Kluyveromyces lactis: one gene and its partners. The protein of the gene in region 7 purifies or fractionates together with the protein of the main gene of each other region. This does not show direct contact. Links are inferred from orthologs where the notes say so. Each region holds a gene or a part of one and is shown on either strand. Other genes may lie near its edges.

Region 1 (3,440 bases), on a different chromosome or scaffold from region 7:
ATATATTGTTGACATTTTACCAATTGTTCCTCTTCTCTTCACAAGCTACATATCATATATATTCACACTCATTATAATTGACCTTAACCCTTTAGGATCGATCATAATAAATGATCAATATACGTGACAAACTAACTAAGGGAAACTATATGACTGTCCTATACACTTCGTAGCAAGAAAAACCAGAGAAAAAGACATATGGTAAAAAAAAGAGATAGTGATAAAATCAAGGTAAAAGGGATTTCTCTTATATGACCATTAGAGTACAGGTCAAGATACGCCAATCATATTAATAGGCTTCTGGAATTTAAACACTGCCAGTCTCTTTTTTACAGTAGTCTTTCTTCCGGTTGACCTTTTTTTTTTATTACTTTACAGTATTTTTTTACCTTTTAAGACTTTTTTTTTTTTTAATAATTAATAGATATAACACTATAATAATAATTCAAATAAAACAGTTAAGGATATCACCATTAAATAGAGCGGAGTAGATTGGAATGTTAACTCATCATCATAGCATCGCCATCTACTTCTTGTCCAGCATGAACTGACTGTACGTTAGATTCTGGTACAGCAAATGGTCTCTCGTTACTCGAGGAATTTCCACTTCCAATCAGCTGCGGATTGAACCAAATACCGTTGGTGTTTTCTGTATCAGGCTTTTTTGGCTTTTCAGGCAATACCCTTTCTGGAGGATGCTGGAATAAACATCCGTATGTTCTACATTCAGCCCCGTACCTACAAGGTTCATTGATAGGGTGACCGAAGAGGCAGTCTATTCTTGTACATTGCGCACCCTCGCGGCACATGATTGACGACCTTGCGTGTCTCTTTGGACAATTTTTATTGGTACATTTTGGACCAAACTTACATTGTTCCAAAATCTTTTCTTCCAATGGGACAACCGATCTTGGCGCGAATTTTGGATTAGAAGGTTTAGAAATGACCGGTTTTGGTGCTGGCTTGTGTATGATTGGTTTTATTTCCTTAATCTTGGATAAGGAACTGTGAGCCTTGTTACAGGTCGGATCAGTGCATTGCAAGTTGTTCTCGCACCAACTGAATTGGGTAACCTTTGCGTCTTCATTTGCAGGAGTTGGATGACCAAATGGACATTTTTGATTAGAACAAATGATCCCAAATTTACATACAACAATACCACTGATCCTTTGCTGTTGTTTCTTTTCCATCTCTTCCCTCTTTATCCTGCGTTCTTCTCTTACACGCTCTAGTTCTTGTATTAATTGTCCATCTTCATTTGGATGTAAATAAGTGCATGTACCTGGTGGATTTTTACAGTTTGGATAACTTGGACACGTAACGGTTGGATGTCCACGAGGGCACTTCCTTCCTAGAGAACAGTGAGGGAAATCAGGACAACGGCCTTCTCTCTTGATGACAACATGGCCAGATGTTTCATTTGCGCCTTCCGATTCATTTATTCCAAGAGCCATCGCCAGTTGGTTAGCACCGTATCTCGAGTTAACTCCACGTCTATTGGTAACACCAGCACTCTTTGAAATTCCACCTCTAATGGAGCTGAAACCACCACGTCTAGAAGTCCCATTATGGGCCGATGAATCTTTGTTACGTTGCGAAGACCTCCCTTCGTTAGCCGTATTATATTTAGATGCAGACACATCTACTACCCCGCTAAATGCAGAAACCGGTGCACTTGGAGCTGGAGCAGAAACGGGTGGTGACTGTACTGGTACTCCTACAGATGTTTCGGTTCCAGTTGACACAGGTGCAGAAGGTGCACTTGAAGAAGGTTGAGATGAATTACCACTCAACTTTGCATAAACGGTGTTCAAGTCATCGCCTGCTTTCAACAGATCTGCAGATGTAAATGCAATGGAGACAACACTCTGGAACTCTTGCGTACTAATACCATCAAACAAACTTGTCAATTCTTGTACGATATCAGGACCGCTGGAACCGTTGGACATTAAAAGTGTAATATACTCAGCGACTTGGTTAACATCTTCGTTGAAATTAGGAACAACCTTTAATCTCTCGGAGATGACAGTCTTTAAATTGCTGGCAATATATTCAGGTACAGTTGACATGTTGCTACTCTTGGTTTGTGTCCTCTTTAGTTTGATCAAGCAACAAAACTAGCTTTTATCCTTGTTCAAATAACTGCTAAAGAATCATTCAGATTATTCGTAATTAATTTCGTTTTAAGTATATGTAATCTTGTTCTTCCTTTTCTTGTACCAGCCCGAAACAATTTTTTTTTTGGCTCTGTATACGGAATATCGTAGAATATTACGCAGAAGGTTGAGTGGAGAAAAAGAAATCAGAACGATGTCCTCTGCTATCCGAGCTATCACGTGATTCGTTGTTAACTCCTGTATTATATGTTAGTTGCTATATGATAGTGACAGTGAATAGACCCTGTTCCAGTTTTAGGTAGAGACCTGGATCAGTGGTTGATGAGCATTAGAAATCTTTCTCATATTTATAAAACTGCTAGTAGCTTTCTCTAGGGAAGTATTCATTATTTAGAGGAGTTAATTATTGGGTTTCCATGTGGAAATGCAGAATGATTCTATGCTATAATTTATTTATTCGTGATGAGATGCAATGCATATAACAAATTCCGTCGAAATTTCTTACTTCATATCTATTCTTTAGAAAGGTATTCTTTAGAAGTGTCTCGTAGTTTTGTCTTCTTGTCTTTCATGTAATTTATTACATTGTTAAATGTTATGGTCGTAATGCTTTTAATAAGTTCCTCGTATTCCTCGTTGATCTTGGTAACTGCTTCCGACTTTTCCTGCAATTCTATCTGGAATTGTTCATAAGTGAAAGGTTGCAACGATCGTTGGTATAAATTCGGATGGCGTTCACAAAGGTCGGCAAATAGATGAAGAGACTGCAAAAGAAGACTTGCTAATGTGAGGTGTAGAGAGTAATCCCCAAGACTTCTCTTATTAGATACCGACAGGTTGTACATTTCCGGATAAATAGTTATCACTTCGTTAATAATATCGATAGCATACGCTGAAAGGATATTGAGTCTTATGGCTAATCCATCCAAAGTTTCATCCCTAAGTGCTTCCTTTATCTTCTCTACTCCCTCAGTTAAATCACCTGCAAGAATTTGGTATGCAGAGAGTACAATAGGAAGTATTTGCACTTCTAACTCTTTAGCCCATCTGTTTATATTTCTTCTTGTAGCCAAAAGATCATCGGATGCCTTGGAAAACAATTCGTCATCATGCTCAAGACGTCTTCTTTCTGAGTCTATTCGCATGAAGGCGAATATAAATTCGCTGCTGATTTGCTCCGCAAAAGTAATTTCTCGCGACATAAAATGTGCAAATCCTAAATAAAACTTTCCAAGATCTATTACATCGTTCTTCCCATCATACATCACCAAAAAAGGATACTTCTTCCTCAATAATTCTGTTAGTTTCTCGCTATCCAGATGG
Region 2 (4,225 bases), on a different chromosome or scaffold from region 7:
AAATTTTCTGCTTAAACAACAGTTGGCAATCAATATCTTCATCAAAAGCACACGACTTAGCACGGAATTTTAATTTGGAGCTGGGTATCATTTTAGAAAGAGGTTCGATGTTTTCAATATGCACAGTTGCCTTTTCCGGTCCAACTGGTTCAATTTGTTGGTTATTGCACTCTGGTACTTCATTCATTGGGTTTAATATATAGAATGGCTTAACTGATTCAGGCAAGTTGGTAAAATCATCAATTGAAAACGCCTGTGAAAAATACCAATTTGGGTCCAACTTTTGGTACACTGACGGAATATAGCTAGCAGTTCGAAGGTTACCTTTTTGAGACCAGCTCAAGTTTGGTAAGCATTCCAATTCAAACAAAAAATTAGTTCTACACTTCGTCAAATCTTCATCTGAATAGTGAGCGTCTTTGATGAAATAATCACGATTTTGAATGCTTAATCTTCTTTCAAGGTCCTTAAAATTATCTTGTAATTCTTCTAACTTTAAAGAAGTCAAAACTTCTTGCTTTTTCGTATCTAACACAGTGTCCGTCTCTATATTGGTGGACAGCCTTTTGCGTTGTGGAGATTGTTTTTCGAGATGTAAGTTCAAAACCCCTGTAAGGCTGCTGCTAGCTGATTGAGGGCTTTCGTTTAAGTAAGGTATTTCAATCGGAATATTCTCCTTATTCAAATCTTCCAATAGGATATTTTTTTTTAAGCACATCCTTTTCGCCGGCTGGGTATTAACATCTTGGTTATCCAATGGGATCTTTCTTCTAAGCTTTCCGACCATTTTTGCCTTCTGTTTGAGCGAACGCTTTTCTATAGGAAAATTGCCGGGTAGTACTTTTCAAAGCAGGAGATTTAATTGATAATTTACTTAATTTTGAACTTATAATCAGGACCCAAGGTTTCTGGTATCATCTTTTATATTCCATTACCTATAGTACCAATTTATTGACATTTTGTCACAAAAGTGTCAAAATAAATGAACATGATAAAGTACCCATAGTTGCTAATACTAATATATATCGTCACGTATCACATGAAAACATACACTGGATGTTTCTTATGGGTGAAATCAAGAAACTGAATGCTTTGCAACTAGAATAAAGTTGATCTGTCGAACTGTAATGGTATTGTTGGCCTTTATGAGTTCACTATCATGTTCCAGTTTAGATCACCAGTTCCGGGTAATCATTTTCAAATTTTTTTCTTTGGTTCTCTGAATAAACAAATAAAGATGATGTTCTAAATCTACCTTGCAGAACCAGGTCTAACAGTTATGTTTCTCTAAGGGCACTTTGTCCAATTGGTTAACTGATTGCTCAGCATAAAATTTTGCTTTACTGTATCTGTGTACTTGTCTTTTTTGAATTTCGGAAATAGGGTATAGACTTGAGCTAACAGTGTATCGGCAAGACAGGACAGATGTCAATATATTCTACGCCGTTGAAAAGCAATTGGAATGGCAATGCAAACTTTGCCAACCCGTCTGCCAATGTCAACGGGCTACCGATGAATGGAATTGGCAATACCTCTTTGGTGCCTCAACAACAAGGATCAGACGGTACTATAGGAACGTACGGTGCTAATATGACAAACGTAATTTCAGGTTTAAACGGCAACACAGTAAACCCACTGAACTTTAATGCTTCACATGAGCATATTAAGGTAACGGGTCTTGGTGCTGCAAATCCTCTGAATCTTGCCTCTCAATACATTGATCATTTGTTGCGTCGTGACATTAGTACCCCGGTACTGGATGAAAGATCGTACTACAATAATGGGGTTAACTACAATTTTTCCAAGGAAGTTGGTGGATTAGGCCCATTTACTCCGTTTGAAAGACTTAATGTGATTAACATACCAGATGAAATTTTGCAGCAAGTATCTACTGCTGAAATCAAAACAAATATGGGTTTATTTCCCGATATTGAACGTTGTTGGATCACTGTTGATAGCAAGTTGATCCTCTGGCATTATAATAACCCTTCAGATTTCCAATCAATAGATGACATCAAGCATACCATATTACAAGTTGCCCTAGTGAAACCGAAACCTGATACATTCGTGGAATCAATCAACCACTTGTTATTGATAACAACTCCTTTTGACATATACATACTCGCAATTTCTTATGACAGAATCAGCGGCTCGTTCAATATCTTCAACACAGGGATGAGCGTTTCTGTTCATGGATTGGATGTACATGAAATCGTTTATTATGAGAAAACAGGACAAATCTTCTTTTCTGGTAACAGCAATGGGACCAACATTTGGGAACTTCAATATTCATCTTCAGAAGATTGGTTTAACAATAAATGCAGCAAACTTTGTTTGACACAGTCTGCTCTTTTGAGTTTACTCCCCACAAATATTTTCTCCAAGATTCCAGGCTCGGCACTTGTACAATCTTTATTTGAAGAAGATTCAAAGTATGCACAAGAATACATTACACATTTGACTGTAGACCAATCGCGTGGTATTTTGTACTCATTATCATCAAAATCAGTCATCCGAGCTTATAAGATTAATGGTAAATCCTTAGATGGACCAACTACAATCGAACCCTCTTATATTAAACGTATCATGGGAACGACTCCGGCTAGAGGAGCTGCTATCTTGGGTAACAAATATTTGAAAATAGTTAAAGTAGAGGTGGTTTCGAAAGAAGAGAATAACAATTTATTTTTGGTAGCTATCACAATTGGCGGTGTTAGGTTATATTTCAATGGTTCTGTTAATTCTGGTAGCGTAGAAGCTTTAAGATTAGAATCCATCAAGTTCCCACCAAGTTCTGTCAGTCCAGAAACCATAGAAATTGAGTTACAACAGCAGCAGCAGCAACAAACTAGAAAACTTACACCCTTCTATTCTTCCCTCAACAGTATGGAATCTGTACAGTTGAAATACCAGAAAAAATCGTCAGTGTTACTTGAAAGCTCGAAAGCTTCGTCAATTATTTCACCTGGCATTTTCTTTTCTGCTGTTACAAAACATCCAGCGGAACAAACATTGGGAACTATGGGAACACCTGTAGCAACTGTTCAAAACACTCCAATACAACATAAGCTCTTTGTCAGTGTACCAGATTATGGTATTTTGAAGAATCACGGTCGCTACGTCGAAAATTCTGTATTTTTGGATACCACCGCCCCAGTAAGAGAAGTTATCCCCATATCCTCTTTGTTCAACGGTGCCAATAAGCCAGAGGGCTATGCCAATGCTTTTGCAACTCAGTACAGTGTAGAACCATTGAAGGTTGCCGTTTTAACAAATACATCTGTGGAAATCTATAAATACCGTAACCCAGACCAGATCTTGGAGTCCTTAATTAACAACCCGCTGCCCTTCATTGTAAATTATGGGTTAGTCGAAACCTGCTCATCTGCTTTATTTGTCACTTGTAAATTCAATAAGTCAGAGTCTTTGAGATCCAATGCGTTAACTCTTTTCACTGTAGGTATACCTAATGTTGTGGAAATCAAACCAACATACAACAAATACGCGAACAGTGCGGTATCAACACTACTAGGTAAACCATCACTGAATTTGATGACCCCACAAAAAAGCTCTACTGAATTAAGCAAAACTGCCAATACTCTTTCGACACCAAATGTATCTGGTGCAAATAATTTCAACCTTGATGATGTCATCTTGTCCGCTAGATTCTACGGTACCGCTCTGTTGATTGCCAGATTATTTAGAGACATATGGGATAAAGATATTTTCCAACTCGATCCCCATGTAAAAATTAATCCGGATAATTCAGTGATGAAGAGTTCAATTAAAGGTGATAATATTATTACAAAAATCGTTGTATCAAGAGGTGATATCGAATATTATCTATCCTCAGTAATGATTTTAAACGAGTTCTTCCAATCATATGGTAATTCAATTACAACAATCACTAATATTTCTCCAATTAATGGAGAAAAGGTGGTGGATAAAGGAGAAGATGTTGCGCATCAGGCAGAAAATGTTGCTATGAACGCAGTTATCAAACTCCTTCAATCCATAAAGGAGTCACTTTCATTTTTGAACGTACTATTCGAAGAGAGTGAAGTAGATGGTTACGAAGGGCAATACTTAGCATTTGTTGACATTATGAAGTACTTGAATTTCGATATTCAATACGACTTAAGCAAGTTGAAATTCAAGGATATTTTCAATCCCAATGAACAAACCAAAAATTTAATAAGAGAGATTCTCTCCTCAATCATCAACA
Region 3 (4,075 bases), on a different chromosome or scaffold from region 7:
GATAGGTGGTAAAGTCTTTGAATAGTGGGTTGAGAGTTGATTCTTGTAGTTCTTGGGATAGAAGAATTTGCCCATCGATGAGATCTAATTCGGTTTGAATTTCGTTTAGCTTTTCAAGATCTTGAACTTCCGCGGCAAGAGCTGTTAATTTGGCAATACTCAATTGTGCCTGTCTTTGTTTCAAATCTTGACCCAGCGATTGAGTTCCAGTAGAAATACTCAACAAAGTTGTAGTTGCTTCGTCGTATTTATGGCAATATATGTTTCCAATCCATTTAACTTTGCCATACTCGGGACATTCTCCTAAGAACTGGTCCAAATATTCTGAATGGGTTTCACCAAACGATTCGTAAAGATCATCCCATAGCCCTTCCTTGATATAGTAGGAAAATAAGGATTTTGCAAAGTCGTATCCGTATTTCTGGAAGAATTCATCGTATAGAGAGAATGCGGTAATTTTTGGCAGAGATTGCAAAGTTTCAACTAAGCCTTCAAAGTCTTGGTAAAAATCTGTGATTAGAATTGAATCCTGAGACCTGTTAACATCCCTAAGGACCCTATTCCAAAGTAAATGATTTTCTTCGAAAAACTGTTTATAACTAGAATCAGTAATGGCATTTGCATCAATCCACATGGTTATTTGCCTGACCATATAAAATAGAGACTTAACCAATAGCAGTAATTCCTCTACAAATTCTGACACAACGGCAAGATCTTCAGAGGCATGCCTTAACAAGAAGAAGATGTCATTAAGATTTTCTATTATGCTATTTGTTGTGAACCAAGGGATATTTTTTGATACATCATCTGGGCTCATCTGGAAAAGTCCATACCTGTAGCTGTTTTCACATTCTTCTAATATGGAATGATAAACTAGTTGATTTATAAGCTTTGCGATCTGAGATTTTAACATAGTTTCATTTGTGGATTTCATTAGGTCTTTCAAATGCTTCAAAAAGGCGCCCAATAATTCTGGAATCTTAACAATGCCGTCTGAGATAAAATCAGAATCCGATTGATAGGAACTTTCTGATAGTACTGTCTTCCAAGCTTGTGAAATAGATGTTGGTTGTTGCGGTAGTAAAGAGTACAAGCTTTCCAAACATTTTATCATTTCAAAATCAGAAATCAAGTCCAGTTTGAATTGGGAAGATGTTTGATCCAAAAAATTATGAGCAACAAATGTGAGAAGTCTTTCAAAAAGTTCGCTTCTTATTTTTAAGTGTTTCATGGGGTTGTTAGCAACAGGCGGTATGTGGTTTGATAATGCATATTTAATCTCATCACTGGACATTTGAATATCTGTTTCAATTTCTTGTGGTTGTAGATCTAGATTGTCAGGTAAGTTGAAGTCTAGTAATGAATCCGTTGATTGTCCTCCAAAATAGACGTATTGATCCACATGAGACTTTATGAATCTAATTTCTTGGAAGTCAGAGTTTTCGTATTTTTCAAAAGTCTCCAACTTTAACGCACATGTTCTTCCATCAGTAATGTATAAGGAACTTGAATTACAATCGTACCCAAGAACTTTCATATCTTTGTTAAACCGTATAATGTCCTCCCATTTCCTTTTAAATGGATAATTAGAGTCCAATTTGGAACTTGTTTGAGTTAGGACAGCAGCATCAGAGAATAAAGTGTAAACAGACGTTATCGGTAAATGTTCCTTGGTGTATGCAGTTGGGACTATAAGTCTTGGGGCAAATTCATCTGATAATGGTCGCGTGTATGTGTTTAATCTGTAAGTAGAGAAGATAGCGAAACTGTTAGTATCTTCATCCACAATGATGGTTGATAGTAAATAGTGCGTTTCGTTACTTTCCGCTAAGAAACTCAAGAACAAGTATGCATCCGAGTCTCCTGATAAAGGATGACAATCGAGTAGTTTCAGTGTAGATGTTGCCAAGGGGAAATGCTCTAAGACTGCCTGTGAAATTTCAGACTGTACATTTAAATCGATCTTTTTGTAACAATTCCCAACAGATGAAAGGTTCCACACCTGATATCGCCCGCCCTGGGTTAAAATAGAAACTATTCTTTCTCCTTTACCGCTGATTTCGCCCAATTTGAGAGATACCACTCTCTTTGATTTGGACATGGATGAAAAGATTCCGACTTGACATTTTATTATGGTTTGTTTTAGCGATACAAAAGGTTTCCCGTTAGCATCTCTTATAGTACAAAACTCAACACGCCCGTAATTTGTCGAAAGTAATATTCCAGCTGGTTCTGCATTAATCAAATTCTCTACATATTCACCGTCACGTAGTTTTAAAACTGATTTATGACGTTTGGTTTGCGTCAAGAAACTTGCCACTTGACTCACAGTATCAACATCTTCATAGAATTGAATGTCACCGGATCTACTGTTCACTAAAAATAAGCCAGGGCTTGATTTCAAGTCACGTTCGAGCACACTAGGCCACGTAAAGCAACATAATGGAGGACGGGACCATGATTCATATTCCTCGTCATGTAATGGAATCCTTACAAAACTAGGGTGTGTTTCAGAAGATAAAAATGGCCAAACGTAAACATTATCAGTATCGCAGCATAAGGCGTACCCAGATTTTGCATCAACGCTACAACATAATTCCACATTACTGGGCAAAAAACTTAAACTTGGCGCTAACTTCGATACCTTATACTTCCCATTCTCTGTGATAACTTGTTCATTCGAAAATTGTACATTGGTGACAGCAGAACCAGTTGTCGTTTCCTCAGCAGAGATTACTGAATCCTCTGGTGCTGCTGCTGGTACACTAAGCTCTTTCCTGAGCTGAAACAATTGCTTCATCTTGTACTATCTTGACACTGAAAAAAAAAGCCAAAAGAATCACCAAATGTAAAACTTTGAAATTCTAATCTCAATTGATCCACTACCTTGTTAGCCGAACCTAGCTTGACCTTGCATTGCTGTAATTATAAAGGTAAATAGACTCTCTGATGCTCATTGTTTAAAATCTTGGTCAATGTTTCTGTTTTCATTGTCGCCAAAGAAATCGTCATAAGTGATGTCACGTGAAACATTTTCCGCCACGTGACTTTGGAATAGTTTCTTTTCACTTATCAAGTAACTTGGAAAATTAAATCTTTAAACTGGAACAAATCGATGCGATGAGCTAAATGCGATGAGCTAAGTTACAGTCTACATAGTTCATCTTTTGGCTCAGATTTCTATCCTATAAGGTGTAATTGTTGTGATTTGTATCAAGACACCGTAAACACCAGGATGATCAGAACAGTAAAGCCTAAGAATGCCCGTGCTAAAAGGGCTTTGGATAAAAAAGAAGCAAAATTGGTTGAGAATGTAAAGCAAGCTTTATTCATTCCTGGTCAAACTTCTACCAAGTTGTTGCATGATTCAATGGTTGATTTGAGTGCGTTGAAGAAGCCTGATATCAAGAGATTCTCCAAGAAGAACAACATCAGACCTTTTGAAGATTATGAACCATTAGAGTTTTTATCTGAAAAGAATGATACATCGCTTATGGTGTTGAGCACACATTCTAAGAAGAGAAGAAACAATTTGACTTTTATTCGTACGTTTGGGTATAAGATCTATGATATTATCGAGTTGCAGATTGCAGAAAACTATAAACTTTTGTCTGATTTCAGAAAACAAACTTTTAACGTTGGGTTAAAGCCAATGTTCAGTTTCCAAGGTGCAGCCTTTGAACAACATCCAGTTTACCAGCATATCAAATCATTGTTCCTTGACTTTTTCAGAGGTCAGAATACCACTTTGCAAGATGTTGCAGGTTTGCAACATATCATTTCTATCACTGTCCAAGGTGATTTCCAAGACGGTGAACCATTACCAAATGTTCTATTCAGAGTGTATCACTTGAAGACTTACAAGTCCGAACAAGGTGGTAAGAAGTTACCTAGAGTGGAATTGGAAGAGATTGGTCCAAGATTCGATTTCAAGATCGGAAGAATTCACACTCCATCTCCAGAAATGGTCAAGGAAGCCCATAAGAAACCTAGACAATTGGAAGTCAGAGTTGCTAAGAACGTTGAGATCGATACTATGGGTGATAAGATCGGTAGAGTGCATGTGGGTAAGCAA
Region 4 (4,265 bases), on a different chromosome or scaffold from region 7:
TCGGACTATCTATCGTGTATGTTGAGTCCTTTGCTAGGTGGAACTTACTTAAAAGCCACTGGCCTGAGATACATTCCCAGGTCTTTGAATATAGTACGATGTCAATTTGTGATTTGATGTCTTTGCTTTGAAGCTTACTATCTTTCAAGATTCCTTGCAGCCGCGATAACAACTCGTTAAAATACACTTCTTTCAAATCTAAAGGAGACCAGACATTTGAATTGTTTCTTACCGGTGTTGTGAAATGATTTTCTTCCAAGTGTAAAGGTGTGCTGTAATTCATTGTGCCTGATTTAATGAAAGAAGACGCTTCAAAAGTGGAATTGGCGTCCAGATACTTATTTTTTTTTGTAGTGGAGCGTAGGGAATGAACTCTTTTTCCTACTCCAAGTTCCTTACTCAATCTTAGAGCCTCTTCTTGTTTTTGTTGTTTGATTTTCTTCAATTTCAGTATTTTATTGAACTTAGATCTCCATTTCTTCATTACATGCATTGTAATAATCTTTTTCTTAAATATATCGGCTCTCACTTCAAGGAATACGAAGTATATTTGTTCATGTATGAATGACCGAAATAAATCCCTGCTCAGATTTTCAATATGAAGGGCGTTAGCTTGTCTCTTTTGAATCTCATTTTTAATGGTTTTTTCTAGTTGTTGCTCCATTAAAGTAGTAAAGATGTTACTGCTGGTTTCATTGACAATTTCATTTCTTCTTTGAATAGCTGCTTGTTGTACTTTCTCTAATTCCAGCTGTCTCCGCAGCTTTTCTTCATTTTGTTTTTCTAAGCCTTGCTTTTCATTGAGAAGTCGGGCTTTTTCGTCTAACTGCTTTTGCATGTTGAACTTTTGCTTTTGTTCCTCCAGTTTTTGCTGTAATGCCTGTTTTTTTACAAATTCGTCTGTCTTTCCAAAAGGTGCAGCTTGCCCGAGCTTTACACCTTCTAATGACACGTCGTTAGGGGCTTTTTTAACATCAGTTTTAGGTTGTGACGGAGTACCAAACATAAACGGTTGGTTTCCATTGGCCGTAGCATTCTTTTCTGTGATTAGGGAAGTACTTGTTTGGAAGCTAAAGGGTCGGTTTGCAGATATAGGAAGGGTTTCCTTAGCACCAGATGTTCCAGCAAAGTTTTGGTTATATTGCGTTAGCTGTGATTCTTCTAGTTGAGATACGTTGTCCAGGAGAGACCTCTTGTTAGAAGGAATTGTGTCAACATTGTGTTTTCGATTATTTATAAGAGCAGTCGTGGTATTTCTCTGTAATTTTTGCTCCACGCATGAAACCCAATTCTTTCTCATTGGCTGAGTTTCTGCTAGGAAATGAGAAGTTCCAGTGAGACTTTTCAATAATATCTTCCCATCACCGAAATCTATGGAGTAGTAGCGGCAGAATGTCTCCAAATCGTTTGCATCACGAAATAAAAAGTGCTCTATAAAATATTGGTATGGTAAGTTCCCTCCCTTTCTGGTTACCGCTAAAGAAAGAGATTTGAATGCATAAAATCTAATCTCGTTGAGATACACCTGCAAAAATGAAGACATTAGAAAGGGTACCTTATCAGATTGAATTAATTGAAAAAATCGGTCGTATAAATTCATGCAATTCTCCGTTACGACAACACCTCTTTCCACATGGTTAGAGTTCGCTAGAATTCTTCTGAAGGTAATTGCTAACTGCATTAGCTCGTCATTGAAGATATCATTGGGTAAGTCCTGGGCCATCTTGTCATATTCGGGATCTCTTATCTTACTCAAAAGGGCGTACGCTCTAAATTCGGCTTCGTTGGGGCATTGTCCTCCTTGATCTCTTACTTCGTCGTATATTTCACATAAAGTAATTATCGCCTTGTGTAGTTGTTCAAGTTCCTGTTGAACACTGAAGGTAATATCTGTCTTTGCCATTTGGTGCAAAATTAGCAAATGTATCCTTACAATTCTCTCGTTACAATCAATGGCTTCAGGTCCTGAGTAATTCTGGTAAGTAAAGTCCTGTCTTATTGATCTCATCCTGTCCCATAGAAAGGCTTCACAGTCTGGTAGTAGAGGGACGATTTCATCTACTATGTAGTCCAGTGTTCCCAATAACACATGAGGAGGTCTAACATCAGACGGTAATGGTGGAGCAGCTGCAGCTGCAGGTCTAGCGAATACCTTTAAGGCTTTACCTCTATCAACTTTTTTATCACTTGGATTAGCTTTTTCATACCTCACGACATTGTTTTCAACACTTCTTCTAGCTCTCTCAAAGATTGGACACATATCTTGACACGTACCTTGGAAAATGATTGCTTCAGTAAGATCTTTCGCCTGATCTGCTTTGTCAACGAGTCCTTTCTCTTCCATTACTTCTCTTTCTTCGTCTCTCATCTTCTTCAATGTTTCCCAGAGTGTAGTCACATCAGATATGTTGTCTTCCAGTTGAAGCATGCGTTCCTGGTTTTTTTTATCCCATTCGTCTTGAACTATCGGTACAGGTTTCAAGATGGGTGCCTGTCTTATGAGATATCTCGGTAGTTCTCTCTCGGCTGGTTTTGTCGGCTGTTGAAACCCAAGTATCGCTGGATTTCCATCAAAAAGTGTGCCAATGATTTCATTTTGATCCTGACTCAAAGTTGGTACCATTTTCTTTATTAGCTTCCCCTTAGAGCCATTGTTGGATGTAGTCTTGCTAGATTTACCATTAGGCCTCTTAAATTTGCGTTTCTCCGCATGATTACTAGATGATCTAGAGCTATCATGCATACTAAAGGGTGCAGCAGACGGTGGTATGGAGGAACCCCCAAACATTGACCCTAACATGGCTACAATGCACGGCCTACTGGTGCAGGAGTTGTTTTCAACTCAACATCTATATAATGGTTAATAGTTTACTTGGGTTATGATTCTTTGTATTTCATTATATCTTCAAATGCTAAAAATTAATGCTACGGCAGTATGTTCAGAAGAACTGCATTAAGGTATCTATAGAGAGAGAAGCCCTCCTAGTGTATATGAACTAGGGCAAATTTACGTGTAAGAGTATGAAACGTGACTTGTTAAGTTCTTTTTCATCGACGGCGTGCACTATGAATTGTCTCTCTATGATAGCCTCTTCGAGGAACATTTCAAGTACATCTTGAGTTCTAAGTTGAATTCCGATCAATGCCGATACCGTTACACGTTGTTCGGTATACCAGACGAATAACGACTCAAGAGTGGTTAAAAATGGTACAATTAAGTATTCGTTGTATATTACATCCATTGCGATTATAGTCAGATGGAAGTTCGGTCCGCATTGAAGAACGGGATCGTTTCTAGATTTCTTGCTACCTGAGAACAGTTCCCAATCTAACAGCGCTATGTCAATCTGACATTCCAACTCAGTACGTCTCTTAAGATCATCTAAAGCAATTGTGTTGGATTTAAGCAGTCTCCGTCTACACTCTGACTGGTTTTCTTGGATGTTATCTTTTAATCGAGGCAAGATGTCCTTTTGATCAGTGGCCACATATTTATCAACGTAATTAGAGAAAACAATAGGAAACATTGGTGATGTTCCAGTGCCCAGTTCAAGGACATATCGTAGTTTATCATCTTGCTGACATTGAAAAATGGATGTAATATCTACCTCATCCTTTACACCCCCTCTTGTGAATATGGTAGCGTTGTCATTGTATAATAACCATTTGAGAATAAAAGTAGACGTGGTCCAAATGACGTATCCAGTCGTCGAGTTATTATTATCACGGTTGGAATTTAAAGAGGTTAGGTTTTGGTGTATACTAAATGTATACTCATCTCTTTCTGGTGCTTTTTTTTTCCTGGTCACTAGGCGATGTGGCCCAATGTCTATCTCTAATTCTGATTCGTTTCTCGACAGAATACCGAGATCTTGAGATAAATCGTTTGCGTTAGCCTCTAATTCCACATATCGTTCGAAAATGTACTCATATAAAGTCTCTTCATCGAGCAGTACTAATTCCATGATAAACAGATCGTCATCTTAGTAAGCTCTGCGCTGAAATGGATTAGTGCCCATTGTAGGTATTCTGTAACGAAATATGAATTATGAATTACATTTTATCTGGTTATACATGATTACGTGAAAGAAACAAAAATATTCGGAGCACTAGAAACTGCCTTTCAAATTTGCTTCAGGAAGAATTATCATTTTGCGTTTAGATGATGTTCTTGGCTAATAGAATTTCGGCAATCAAGATACCTGCACCTGCAGCACCGATAACGGTGTTGTGGGACAATACAACCATTTTGAAGTCCAATACAG
Region 5 (4,207 bases), on a different chromosome or scaffold from region 7:
ATTGCACGGACTGTTCCGCCAGAGTTTTATGATGCTCTATTTGTGAATATGAATCAGAAAGTTGCAAGTTAACCTTTTCCAATTCCTGTCTCAAAGTCTCAACTAGGTTTTGAGCATCATCGACATTACTTAACATCGTATATGATTGTGCCCGTGCCTCGGCCTCCTTGAGTTTTGCGGATTGTTCATTGATAGTGGATTGCATTTTCTGAAGTTGAGCTTCTTTTTCTTCTAAGGTCGTTTTCTGTTGAGCTGCCTCACTAGTTAACTTATCAATCTTTTCTTGAAACCAATTATATTGATGCTCTTTATTGCTAGCAATTCCTGTGGTGTTTTTTTCAATTTCTTCAAGGCGTTCGAGTGAACCAGACAACTCAATTTCCAATTTTCTAAGCTTTTCCTTATAAGAATTCTGAGTTTCCTTGAGTAACATTTCTCTCTCACGTTGGAGTGTCTGAAGTTGCGCAATTAACACCTTGTATTCGACACTTTCTTTGGAAAATCTTTCGTTCTCTGCCTTCAGTTCCTTTTGAACCTTTGCCATAAACTGTTTTTCAGACTTCAAGATGGATAGTTCCGATTGTATAGATGACAAAGTGGATTTCGTTTTGATTAAGGAATCTACAGTCTCCTGTGTACGTTTGTCCTGTTTTGTTAAAATATCTTGTAGATCAGATGATCTTTTTTGTAGCTCCTCACATTGGCGTTTGGAAAGCTCTAAAGTTGATTGTAATAGATTTAACCTATCTTCTGCAAGAGTACGTGAAGTTTTCTCAGATTCGAAATTAAGTGATATTTCATATAATTTCTTACGCAGGTTGCTGTTTTCTGATGACCATTCCTTGGCATTATTCTCTGCTTCTTGAATGACAGCGGTGAGTCTTGTTTCGAGATCCTTCACTTTATCGTCATTATCAGGAGAAGGGTAAGTAATGGCCTTAGGTGTGTTTGTGCCAGAGCTAGCATTTACTGACAATGCCTTGTATGCGTCCCTCTCCTTTGATAGAATGACTAGTTGGTTTTCAAGGTTCTGTGCATGATCATGAAGTGTAAGAATGGTTTCTTTTGCCTCTCTCACCGTTTCATCCTCTAATACCTGGATTTGAGATTTGTTTTCAGCTTCCCTGCGTTCTAATTCATCAGCAAGATTGCGAATTGTAGAAAGAAGTTCGGAGTTTTTCTGCTGCAACTCAACTACTGATCTAAATTCTACTAGTCGATCGGTTATAATGCCTTGAGTGTCAGAGGTCTTTGTTATTTCTTGAGAGTTGGTTAGATTTTTGACAAATTGCAATTCTTCAGCGGATAATGGTCCGCCATCCTCTGACTTAATAGATTCGTTCACGAGTAAGTACTGTATCTGATGGGCAAGGTCAACACGTTGCTTAGATAGGGAGGCTATTTGAGTCTCATAGCTTTTCACAGTAGCTTTCAAATAATCAAGTTGTGACGACTTTTGATCACGGTCTTTGCCAGTTGACTCTAACAAAATAGTAACCTCATTTAACTCTCTTTCAAGCATTTCACTTCTCTCTTTGAAGGAATTGAGAACAGGGATTTTATGCTCTAATTCAACAACGAATGCTTCCACTTGCATTTTTAACTCGTCTTTTTGTCTTTTCTCAATAACCAGCTGTTTTTTGAGCATTCCCAAATCACCATATAACTTAGGTATGACAGAAACCGATTTTTCTGAAGACGCAGTGGTATTACCAACTTCGGAGTCTTCTAATTTTATGTTGGATGTTAATTCATCGATTGTCTCCTTAAGTTTTATGCAGTTAGATTCAGATGCGTCTAAACGATATTTGACCGCATTGAGCTCTTCAATGAGCTCGTCTCTTTCTTTTTCGGTGAAATATGATGAGTCCATGTTATTCTTTGTAGCATCCATTTCTTTCTTCAATGATTCCATATGTTTCTCTAGAGCATCAATCATTCTCTGCTTTAAAGACATCTCTTTCGTAAGCTCTTGTTTAGAGAAATTGTACTCATCTTTAATTTCTTTGTTCTCGGAAAGTTTTTGCTCCAGTTGTTCATGTAAACTGTGTACCGATTGTTTTAGTTTCTGATTACTGGTTCGAGCTATTTCCAACTCTGATTCCATATTCGATACCTTTAACTGAGAATCTTGTAATTCACTAATTGTGCTTTCTCTAAACTCATTGAGTTGTACGGTCTTGGTATTTAACTGATTGGTCAACCAGTCATTGTTTTCTCTCAATAATGTGATTTCTTGTTCCATCCTTAAAATCTCGCTTTTCGAACGTAGCTCTAAGGCCTGCTGAGTTTGTAGCTCAGTTTCAGTATTGACGACTTTTTGTCTAAGTTCCTTATTCGCTCCCTGTGCTTCATTCAATTTAGCTTTGGTAGAACTGAGTTCTTCAATTTTTTCGTTTAGTGACTCTGCAATATCTTGCTTAGAAGCGTCAGCAAGTTCTTTTTGTTGCCTCTCTACTTCTATTTCTTGTTCCAATTCTATGATTCTTTTGGTCACTTGTGAATTTCCTTCAATTAGACGCCTTTTCTCTTCTTCAAAGTGTAAGCGCTCATCCTTCCCATCTTCCAATGCCTTGGCTAGTTGAGAGATGTGAATTTTGAATGATTCTAGTTTGTTCTCTGATTGAGATTTTAATTGATCCAAGGTAGCAGTTATTCTTAGGTTTTCAGATTTTTGTTTCCGAAGATCTTCCAACTTCTCCTCAATCCTACCTAAAACATCATTATTAATGTCTTGTATCAGTTGCTGGTCGACTTGTAGAAAGTCTGCGACCCTAGAGGCAATGGGTTCTACGGACATTCTCAACTCCACAACACAACAATGGAATAGCAATCTATAAGACGCTACTTTTACCTAGTGTTCAAGCTAATCGCTATGATATTCAATTAGAAGTATACTAAAAATTTCTGCAGGTATACATGAGCATATACAATGCACATAGGCTTTGTTCTTGACAGGTAATTTTTGTTCAATTTCAATATTAGGTCCAATTCGGTGAAATTCAAAATAACGACCAGATACCACGAACTGACTGCAGAACGAAATACAGAAGTCGTATCTAAACTAACAATCAGGGTAACCGGTACCAGTAAAATTCTACGTTCCAAGTTGGGACGGTTTGCAACAACATCCGTGCACTATTCAACAGTGTGTCTGGGTGTATAAATTTCGGGGCTTGACAATTAAAAATGCATATATTCCTCAAAACGGTATTTTTATTTTCTAATTGCAGAAATCACTTCGTTTTTGCTCGTTGTCGATTCCTCAGGTTCACCAACTTTCTATGTACCAAACCCAGATTGAGGAAAGCAAGCAAGAATTCATACTCAAAGTATTTTGGATTATATCATTTAATCATACGCACTTAAGATAGCTGTACTTAGTTGTTGATTACTATCAAAAAGATCAGGAAAGGACAAGATTCAAAAATGCAAATGTATGCACAATATGATAAGCAAAAGGCATCTTATTTTGGGGTTTCTTGGTGATTCAAGACGGTTTATGCTACTTTGAAATGGGACGAAAGCACATTAGCTAAAAAACAACAAGACGAACTCGGATAACAACTAATGAAAATGACAAGGATTTACTGTGTTTGGTGTAACATATATCATGATAGTCGCTATCCTGTGAGAACTTGAGCGTTTCATTTCGGAGAGTGTGAGTACGCGGTCTAAACTGTTGAGTGAGATATATGTCACGATTTCTTCAAACGAAAGCAAGTACGCTTTGCAGAATGAATAAGGATACAAGGAAGCAGTTTAATGGGACCTATCACCTCCTAACTATCAAATGCACAACAATTCATACCTACAGAGGGAATTTTTTTTGGTTTTTTATTAAGCTTTACTAATCTAGCAAAATTAACTTGAACGTTCACTAATTCTAGGAATCGTCCCAATAAGATTGCCTTAAGAACTTTGTTCTGATCGAGTTTCAAACTTTTACTAACAAATCATATCTTTTTGAAAACAGTTTCGTCAAGACCTTGACTGGTAAGACCATCACTTTGGAAGTCGAATCTTCCGACACCATTGACAATGTCAAGTCTAAGATTCAAGACAAGGAAGGTATCCCACCAGACCAACAAAGATTGATCTTTGCTGGTAAGCAATTGGAAGATGGTAGAACCTTGTCTGACTACAACATCCAAAAGGAATCCACTTTGCACTTGGTTTTGAGATTGAGAGGTGGTATCATTGAACC
Region 6 (4,209 bases), on a different chromosome or scaffold from region 7:
GCGCTTGCTGCTCCTTCTCCTCTTCCTCTCCCTCCTCCTTTTCTTCTTCTTCTTCTCCTTCTTCTTCTTCTTCTTCTTCTTCTTCTTCTTCTTCTTCTTCTTCTTCTTCTTCTTCTTCTTCTTCTTCTTCTTCTTCTTGCCCATCTTTGGTCTCCACTTTTGCTTGTTCTTCGTTGCTTTGCTCAGCTTCATCCTCTTCTATGTCACTGTTTGAGTTCAAAACAGTTGAAGAAGGTTTTGAAGAGGCTTCGATGTGTATATCAGATCTATCATTATCATATATTTCCCTGTCCTCTCCGTATAAGGAATCACTTTCATCGGTAGAGGATACAATGTTAGATTCGATATCGTCTTGATCTTCTGAAATGCTCGAATCATTAGCTGGACTAGGCACTTCAGATTGATCGTTTTCGATCGTCGAATCGCTGACTTCTTTCGAATTCAAAGAATCTTGAGTGACGGATGGCAAACTGTGGTTAGCTTCTGATATAGATTCACCGAAACCAGTAAAGTTGAACGACTTAGTGTCTTCTTTTTTAGAATTCAAGTGGCCGAATGGATCAGAAGTCTGAGTTTCGAATGGATTTATGGTCTTTTGGTCTGTAGCAAAGGCAGAAAATGGTGAAGACAATTTCGCAGATGTAGCGAATGAATTCGGTGCAGGGTTGGTAACAGCGCTGTCGCTGCCAAACTGAGAAGTTCCAAAGAGCGATTTTCCAAAAGACGACTCTGATGAAATTTTTGTGTTGGTTCCGAATGGAGAGGTAACATTAGCTCCTTGTATTCCGAAAGATGTGGAGCCAAAACTTGGCGTTCCAAAGACAGATGACGTCTCTGCCTCTTCGGACAAGGGTGAAGTGGTATTAGTTTGAGATTGGGTACCAAATGATGTACTTCCAAATGTTGGTTTGCCAAACGCTGGTTTACTGGGCGCCGATTGGTCAGATACAGGTTGGCCGAATGCTGGTTGTCCGAATGCTGGTTGTCCAGACGTTGGTTGACTAGATGCAGGTTTACCGAAAGTTGGTGGACCGAATGCTGCTTGGCCGAATGCTGATTGTCCAGATGTTGGTTGACTAGATGCCGGTTTCCCAAACGCTGGCTCCCCGAATGCTGGTTGACCGAATGCTGGTTGACCGACTGCTGATTGTCCAGATGTTGGTTGACTAGATGCCGGTTTCCCAAACGCTGGCTCCCCGAATGCTGGTTGACCGAATGCTGATTGTCCAGACGTTGGTTGACTAGATACAGGTTTGCCGAAAGTTGGTAGACCGAATGCTGGTTGACCGAATGCTGATTGGCCAGGTGTTGCTTGGCTAGATGTTACTTGGCCAAATGTTGCTTGGCCAAAGGCAGGTTTTCCAAATGCAGGAGATGAACCAGATGACAGCAAAGGATTTTGAGAGCCCTCAGACTCAGCATTTGTACTATCCGTCATGTTCTTCGGAGTGAACGAAAAACCTTTAGCGAAGGAATTTGTAGTTTCAAAAAATGACGATTGTTCAGGAACCTTTCTTACTTCAGTTATTGTGTTCTTAGTGTCTTGGGGAGAAATTAAAGTAACTTTTTCCTTTTCCATTGAAGAAGAACCACTTTCTATTTTATGAGATAAGATTTCGAAAGACTGTACATACTGAGTTTTGGTTGGTTCTAGCGTGAAACTCGAGTTTTGTAAAGCAGAGTGATGGAATAAAGCCCAACAAAATAGTTCCCCAAGATTGGTGAGGACATATAATATCGGTAGATTGTCAGCAGCCTCTACTCCGGAACAAGGCTCATACACAGTACCACTGGAAAATACATCTAGGGCCATCCCAATGGGTTGTGTATCATTATCTGTTTCAGGGTTGATTGGAAGAATTGCACAAGCAGCATCTTGGTCCGGTTTATACATCACGTTCGGTGTGGCAATCGATAGCTCTGATGCACACGATGATCCTATAACGAATAGATGTGGTAGCTGCTGAGCGAGTTGATACAATGTTTGAGAGTAGTATGAAGGATTTCTTTTGACTGTTGAATAGGGAGGCGCGATATCCATGGAAGGAGTAAAAGATTTAGTATTGACATTGACAAAATATACGGTTAAATCGTACATGATATCTTCTTCCGAGGCATCGACCGGTTCGCCGTACGATACGAGTAAACTGCTTTCTGACAAAGCGTTTATGGACAACGGTTCGTTAGGTTCATCGAGAGATGGCTTTTCAATAGAGGATGTGACGTTAAACTGTTCATCCAGTACAGCTATAGAACCATTTTTGTGTAAAACATAAAGTTGATGTTTCAAAGTGTCAATTGCGATGCAACCTGTGATTGAATGTAACTGTTCGGAAGAATGCTTTTGCGATAAGGATATTTTAAACACGACATTAGCGTTACTCGCAAGAAGTACATTCCCTTGGAAAATTACAGAACAAATGACTTCATTGACACCATTACCGTCCCAGTATTGTTCCCAGGCGAATTGGTCCAATTCGGTAACCCATACTGAACCATCTTCTAGGACCGTAGCCAAACTCTCTGCCACAAAAAAAACGCCCACTACTTTCGCCGTGAACTCTTTCGTATTTAGAGTGATGAAGGACTCATCACGGACAGATTGCAGATCATATACAGACACAGTCTTGGAAGAAGCAACAGCTAGTAATTTTTTCAACGGATGTATGGAAGCATTAGCCAGTTTTGAGAATGGCAAATCCTCATTGAAGCCTGGAACAATTTGTTTAGAGAATAAAAACTTGAATCCCAAGCTCTCAGTAGTTTCAACATTCAACGCATCAACCACAGAGGACGTCATTGATTCTGTATGTGTTCTTTTATCTGTGCCGACAGTAGTAGTTTCAATCCGTTAGTGTATTAATATAAACCTCAGCTGCTTATTAATTTGTAAACCTTGAATTTCAATGGGCATCAGTTGCAATGTTCAGTGCTTGTACAGGTTTGAAGCTTTTTGATGATAGCTTTGAAGTAAACAAAGTTCCAAAAAGAAGGAAATTATCAATCACGTGATCCGGAAATCAGTATGAGGTTAGTGTTCATGTTTTATTGTCTTTACTATGACATGAATGTTTTGAGATATAAAATTTTTTAGATGGTCATTAAAGAATACGTATTTAGTTAGGTAAGTATCTTCGAAAGAAGTAGGCGTTAACATTGTAATTGAGGCCATATCTGTAATGAAAACAAAGCGGATATTGTTGTTCTGAAAAAAAAGCGAACAAAATGAAAGGCAATATATATATATATCGGTATCAAATGGAACGCCAAGAAGAATGATACTTTAGTTGAATGTGAATCATTTCAAAATTGATAACCTAGGCTGGTGATCCATTGGACAAAGCAAAATAACATAAACTTAGAAAAAAGTAACACTTCTTTTTAACACTTGTGTAAAATTACTAAGTATGCATTTAAGCAGCGAACGATAGAGACCAACCCAACTTGTGGACTGGTTCAGCCAACTTCAAAGCGTCGAAAGAAGCACCAATACCTAGAGTGACACCTGGTCTCAATATTTGTTGGTAGGACAAGGCGACGATACCGGAGTCAGCAACCTTAGCCTTAACTTGAGAAACGGCGTCCAAAGCGTACTTGGAAGCGAATTCAATGTTGACATTAGAGCCAGCTTGAGGGTTCAAAGCAGCCTTAGCACCGACTTGCAAGATTGGGGAAACCTTTTGGAAGAAGGAAGCGGTGATCAATTGAGCGTTGTTGACGGACAAACCAACGGAATAAGCACCAGAAGCGTTGTAACCCAAAGCCAAAGCGTAACGGGAGACGGCACCAGCAGAGATGTCATAACCAACTTCAGCACCACCAACGAAACCTTCGTGAGCCAAGGTCAAGTCACCGACGAAGGATGGACCCTTCAACAAATCGAAGAAACCTCTAGCAGCAAACAAAGGTTGAACAAAGTTAACGTTCAACTTAGCAGCCTTAGAGACACCTGGAACACCAGAAGTGATCAATTCAGTCTTCAAGCCTGGAGTCAATTCAGCCAATTCGATCTTGGTGTCCAAAGTGTTGGCGTTGTTCCAACCTTGGGTGAAAGTCAAACCAGTAGACTTGTCAGAGGCCTTAACTTCAACGTTAGCAGCAATTGAGCCATCTTTTGGAGAAGTTTTACCCTTAACAGTGAAAGCAACACCGTTTGGAGCAGTGGTCTTAACGTCAACAGAAGCTGGGGTAGCGTGGAAGAATTCCTTG
Region 7 (3,766 bases):
TAGCAATACGGTCTATTGGGATTGCAGATCTCTGATTTGTATTCCTTGAGCTCTTCTTCAACTTGTGTAGGTTCCATCGCCTTTTCAATCTTTTCAAAGTGACACAATTATGCACCTTATTAAATAACCTTCTAAATCGATTATATTTTGATTGGCGAGGTTCTGGTATCGATCTCATTTAATGTAGTTATATTGCCTTGGAATAGTGAGTTTTCAGCAAAACTGTAGTGAGCTTATAATCACAATTTGTAATTTGCTTAAGAGTTCATTGGCTAGTATAATGTTCTGAATGTTAGGCCCTTTTTTTATTGACGTACACTTTGTGACAAACAGGATATATGATAAAAAATAGTCACAGAGTCAAGTCACCTTGAATCCAACTGATATAAATAGATGGATATACTTAGTTTAATTTATTTGTGTGAGATGCAACTATATATTATACTGAATGAATTAAGATGTTCTTTTTTAAAGAAGCGCACATGATTAGCTCAATACTTTTAGATGAATGCCTCTCTGGGTAGATTGTTTGCACTGTTTCTAAATCCTTGGATAGCATTATCATAGTTCCAAAGACTTTGCTCGGCAAGCATATAAGTGTACTCAGCGTTAAGCTTTGTTTCAAGGTGTAACTTCTGAAGTAGTTCTAATTGTACAGGTGACAATTTTGCTTGCACTTCCGGTGAGAATTGCAAAGGTGTCGATCCAAGAACTCCCGGGATTTGGCCAGGAATGGATGATGTATTTGGCGGAGTTTGTGAGAGGGGCACGTTCATTTGTGGCTGATGTTGCACAGATTGAGCTTGGAGATGTGGTGGAGAAGGTGGTTTAGACCAAGCGCTATCACAGAATGGCCTTATCGTCAACGAATCAGATGCAATGATGACACTACCATTTGGACTTGGAACTAAGACCATTGTTCTATCGAAGGATTTCTGTGAAAGTTTGATGTTCGGCGTAGACGTAAATCCATGGTTGTATCTCCTTCCTCTAGAGGCAGATGATCCTTGTGATGTTTTGCTCTTGTCAATTTCAGGTTTGGCAGTTTCATCGAAATGGCCATGAAGAGTGATAACAAACCCTTGAACTTGTGGGAAGGTCCAGGCTTGCACAGAGTAAGCATCAGGTTGTTCTTGCAAAAAATGTTTTGTCATAGGGAGAGATCCGAACACTTCATAAATTGCTTCGGGCCCTATACGTAACCGTTCTTGGATGGTCTTGTCGCTAGATATCTTGGAAATGTTTCTTGAAAATGGTAAGTAATGACCGAATGTAGGAGTCGTTTGAGCATTAGGTACAGTAGCAGCTGGAACGGAAGAATCAACACTTAAGGAAAATTGAGACTGTGGAGTGTACAAACCCATCAATTGCATTCTATTCGAATCCCACAAGTTCAAGAAGTTGGTAATAAAATCTGTTGACGATGATGCCAATCCATTATCTTCGAAAAAGAACTGGGTTTGTTGTACCGGTAAGCTATAGATAGACAGTAGTTTCTGCTCGTCACGAACGACAACGTTATCTAGAATCACCAATTTGGGGAATATCCTTAACATTTCTGTACGATATAAACGATCCGATGTAATTGGATTATTCATCATCAGAAGCTCCCTCAACTCTTTGAATTTATTCTTCCAAACTTCAAGAGAATGGAATCGACTAATACTATTATTGGCGATGCATAGGTTTTTCAAATGAGGGAAAGTCTGTGCCAACGTGGTAACACCATTGACGTCTCTCAAATTATTATCAGATAGGTTGATCGATTCAACAACCATGCTAGGCTCCTTTGAAGCCACTTTCATCATAGCCGGGAACATCTTGGACTGCGTATTAACATTTTTCGGAGCCATACCGCGTTGCACCAACTCCGGATCATTGAACAAATTACCAAGATCCAACATCCTCGTTTGCACATTATATCTTCTCAAAAGCACATTACGAAGAACGGTTATCGTATCATTCGTATTAGGGTTTGTGTTCCCACCGGCTGCCTTGTGAATCTTCAATGAATTGCCTGCAAACCGGTACCCACTAAATTTCACCAATTGATCTGCCTCCTGCGGTGTCACATAACCAACTATAGTGTCCCCTTGAACCACAGAGTTTCTCACTGAGATCCTGGTCTTTCTCGAAATGAAATTCAACAAATCCTGTTGAGTAGCGTTAGTCCATCCACGAATGCTAACGCTGACTAAGTTATCCAATTGGTTTTGCTGTGCCAAAGCACCAATCTGATTCACGTTACCAAAACCACTAACTTGCATCACTCTAGTAACGCTATATCACAAGACTTTTCTCAACCAAATCGGTTAACCCGGTGAGCCTCATCTTTCAATCTCTATTCCCATCTCAATTACCAATGAGACTAGCACATTTTTTGATTATTTCTAGGTTTTTAGCATTTTTTTTTTTAATTTTATTCTTCAGTTTAGTAGAAAGAGATGATCGACCAAATCGAAACAGAAAATTCAAGGTCATGTGATATATTACGAGCACGTGACGTATAAATATCTTTTTTTTTTTTGGTCTTTCTCTTCTATTTGTTCTTCTAAGCTCTGCCGTATTGAATACGTATAGTGTTTCAAACAGAAGGAAAAAAACCCAAAGGTTTTTGGAAAATACAGACTGGCATATTAAAATCGAAATAAGTTAACTGTTAACTACTTTTCTAGATCAGAGGAATAATTGTTTGCAGTTTGAAGGCTTTTTTGTTTAATAGTACACTGTGGTTCACTTTTTTTGATTGCTGCCTGCTGTGTGTTTTATTGTAGCGGCTTAATTTATTGGCAGTCTTTTGGTTCTACAACAGACAAGCAGACGAACAGACAACGACGCCATGCCGCAGAATTATGATTACGATGAGGCAAGCACCACATGGCCATTTTTCGTACTCACGGTGTTATTTGTGGCTGTTACACCGGTAACATTGATTGAGCTGTATAGATTGATTGTTGGGGACTCCAGCGATAAGAGTTCTTCATCAGAATGGAGTCAATTGCACGAAAAATATACTTCAGAAGAAGTTCGGAAATATAGACTTGCTAATAAGAAGAAAAGGTCCAAGAAGGGAATTTACTTCATTACCGTTGGTTGGGTGCTCATTTCGATGTTGATTTATCATATTCGTTCCAACGATGCTATCTATCAGATTGCAGCAGCGGCTTTTGATCCATATGAGTTACTTGGTGTGACGCTTTCGTCTACCGATAAAGAGATCAAGTCTGCATACAGGAAATTATCTGTCAAATTCCATCCCGATAAGCTTTCCAAGGACCTAAATGAGATTGAAAGAACGGCTATGGAGGAACAGTTCGTGATGATTAACAAGGCTTATAAGGCTTTAACTGATGAAATTACGAAGGAAAATTATAGAAAGTATGGTCATCCAGATGGTCCTCAATCTACTTCTCACGGTATCGCTTTGCCCAAGTTCTTGGTGGAAGGAGGTACTTCCCCATTTGTTGTTTTTGCATATTTCATTCTACTTGCGTTTGTGTTACCCATGGTAGTTTCTAAATGGTGGAGCACTTCGCAAGAGTACACAAAACACGGTATTCATTCTGAAACAGCATCTCACTTCGTTGACAAAATGTTCAACTTCAAACCATCTTATGTTGTTGTGCCAGACTTAATCATTAAATGGATCTCTGAAGCAAAAGAATTCCAATTGAAATTCCCAGAATTGTCTTCCGTGGACATCGCTAACATTATCCATTCCCATGTTAACCGTGAAAAGACTGAAAACGAATATGCAAGGAACTAT

What was found.
Region 1: the proteins of MEX67 (region 7) and NAB2 purify together in Saccharomyces cerevisiae (affinity purification with western blotting; 6 studies listed by BioGRID, with this or other methods). This does not show direct contact. The link is inferred for Kluyveromyces lactis from reciprocal best matches to the Saccharomyces cerevisiae genes MEX67 and NAB2.
Region 2: the proteins of MEX67 (region 7) and NUP170 purify together in Saccharomyces cerevisiae (affinity purification with mass spectrometry; 3 studies listed by BioGRID). This does not show direct contact. The link is inferred for Kluyveromyces lactis from reciprocal best matches to the Saccharomyces cerevisiae genes MEX67 and NUP170.
Region 3: the proteins of MEX67 (region 7) and NUP133 purify together in Saccharomyces cerevisiae (affinity purification with mass spectrometry; 3 studies listed by BioGRID). This does not show direct contact. The link is inferred for Kluyveromyces lactis from reciprocal best matches to the Saccharomyces cerevisiae genes MEX67 and NUP133.
Region 4: the proteins of MEX67 (region 7) and SAC3 purify together in Saccharomyces cerevisiae (affinity purification with western blotting; 3 studies listed by BioGRID, with this or other methods). This does not show direct contact. The link is inferred for Kluyveromyces lactis from reciprocal best matches to the Saccharomyces cerevisiae genes MEX67 and SAC3.
Region 5: the proteins of MEX67 (region 7) and MLP2 purify together in Saccharomyces cerevisiae (affinity purification with mass spectrometry; 5 studies listed by BioGRID, with this or other methods). This does not show direct contact. The link is inferred for Kluyveromyces lactis from reciprocal best matches to the Saccharomyces cerevisiae genes MEX67 and MLP1.
Region 6: the proteins of MEX67 (region 7) and NUP159 purify together in Saccharomyces cerevisiae (affinity purification with mass spectrometry; 3 studies listed by BioGRID, with this or other methods). This does not show direct contact. The link is inferred for Kluyveromyces lactis from reciprocal best matches to the Saccharomyces cerevisiae genes MEX67 and NUP159.

Annotation. Positions count from the first base shown.
Region 1 is NC_006042.1:904,012-907,451, forward strand, and holds NAB2 (mRNA-binding protein NAB2), read right to left. Parts: upstream 2,070-3,440; coding exon 501-2,069; downstream 1-500. Other genes in the region: KLLA0_F09867g (uncharacterized protein), read right to left, coding at 2,630-3,440. UniProt on the Saccharomyces cerevisiae protein: RNA-binding protein involved in RNA processing and transcription regulation. Acts as a regulator of mRNA stability: binds the poly(A) tail of mRNAs and pre-mRNAs, preventing their degradation by the exosome.
Region 2 is NC_006041.1:1,832,305-1,836,529, reverse strand, and holds the start of NUP170 (Nup170p), read left to right. Parts: upstream 1-1,425; coding exon 1,426-4,225. Other genes in the region: KLLA0_E20637g (uncharacterized protein), read right to left, coding at 1-787. UniProt on the Saccharomyces cerevisiae protein: Functions as a component of the nuclear pore complex (NPC).
Region 3 is NC_006037.1:703,054-707,128, forward strand, and holds the start of NUP133 (Nup133p), read right to left. Parts: upstream 2,801-4,075; coding exon 1-2,800. Other genes in the region: rRNA-binding ribosome biosynthesis protein RPF2, read left to right, coding at 3,236-4,075. UniProt on the Saccharomyces cerevisiae protein: Functions as a component of the nuclear pore complex (NPC).
Region 4 is NC_006040.1:1,418,083-1,422,347, reverse strand, and holds the start of SAC3 (Sac3p), read right to left. Parts: upstream 2,801-4,265; coding exon 1-2,800. Other genes in the region: RKM5 (S-adenosylmethionine-dependent methyltransferase), read right to left, coding at 2,997-3,965; HOM2 (aspartate-semialdehyde dehydrogenase), read right to left, coding at 4,159-4,265.
Region 5 is NC_006037.1:55,751-59,957, forward strand, and holds the start of MLP2 (Mlp2p), read right to left. Parts: upstream 2,801-4,207; coding exon 1-2,800. Other genes in the region: RPL40A (ubiquitin-60S ribosomal protein L40 fusion protein), read left to right, coding at 3,430-3,437, 3,977-4,207. UniProt on the Saccharomyces cerevisiae protein: Together with the closely related MLP2, involved in the structural and functional organization of perinuclear chromatin. Together with MLP2, associates with the nuclear pore complex and form filamentous structures along the nuclear periphery.
Region 6 is NC_006042.1:330,428-334,636, forward strand, and holds the start of NUP159 (FG-nucleoporin NUP159), read right to left. Parts: upstream 2,801-4,209; coding exon 1-2,800. Other genes in the region: porin POR1, read right to left, coding at 3,414-4,209. UniProt on the Saccharomyces cerevisiae protein: Functions as a component of the nuclear pore complex (NPC).
Region 7 is NC_006039.1:845,802-849,567, forward strand, and holds MEX67 (Mex67p), read right to left. Parts: upstream 2,268-3,766; coding exon 501-2,267; downstream 1-500. Other genes in the region: OSW1 (Osw1p), read right to left, coding at 1-178; protein-transporting protein SEC63, read left to right, coding at 2,840-3,766. UniProt on the Saccharomyces cerevisiae protein: Involved in the export of mRNA from the nucleus to the cytoplasm.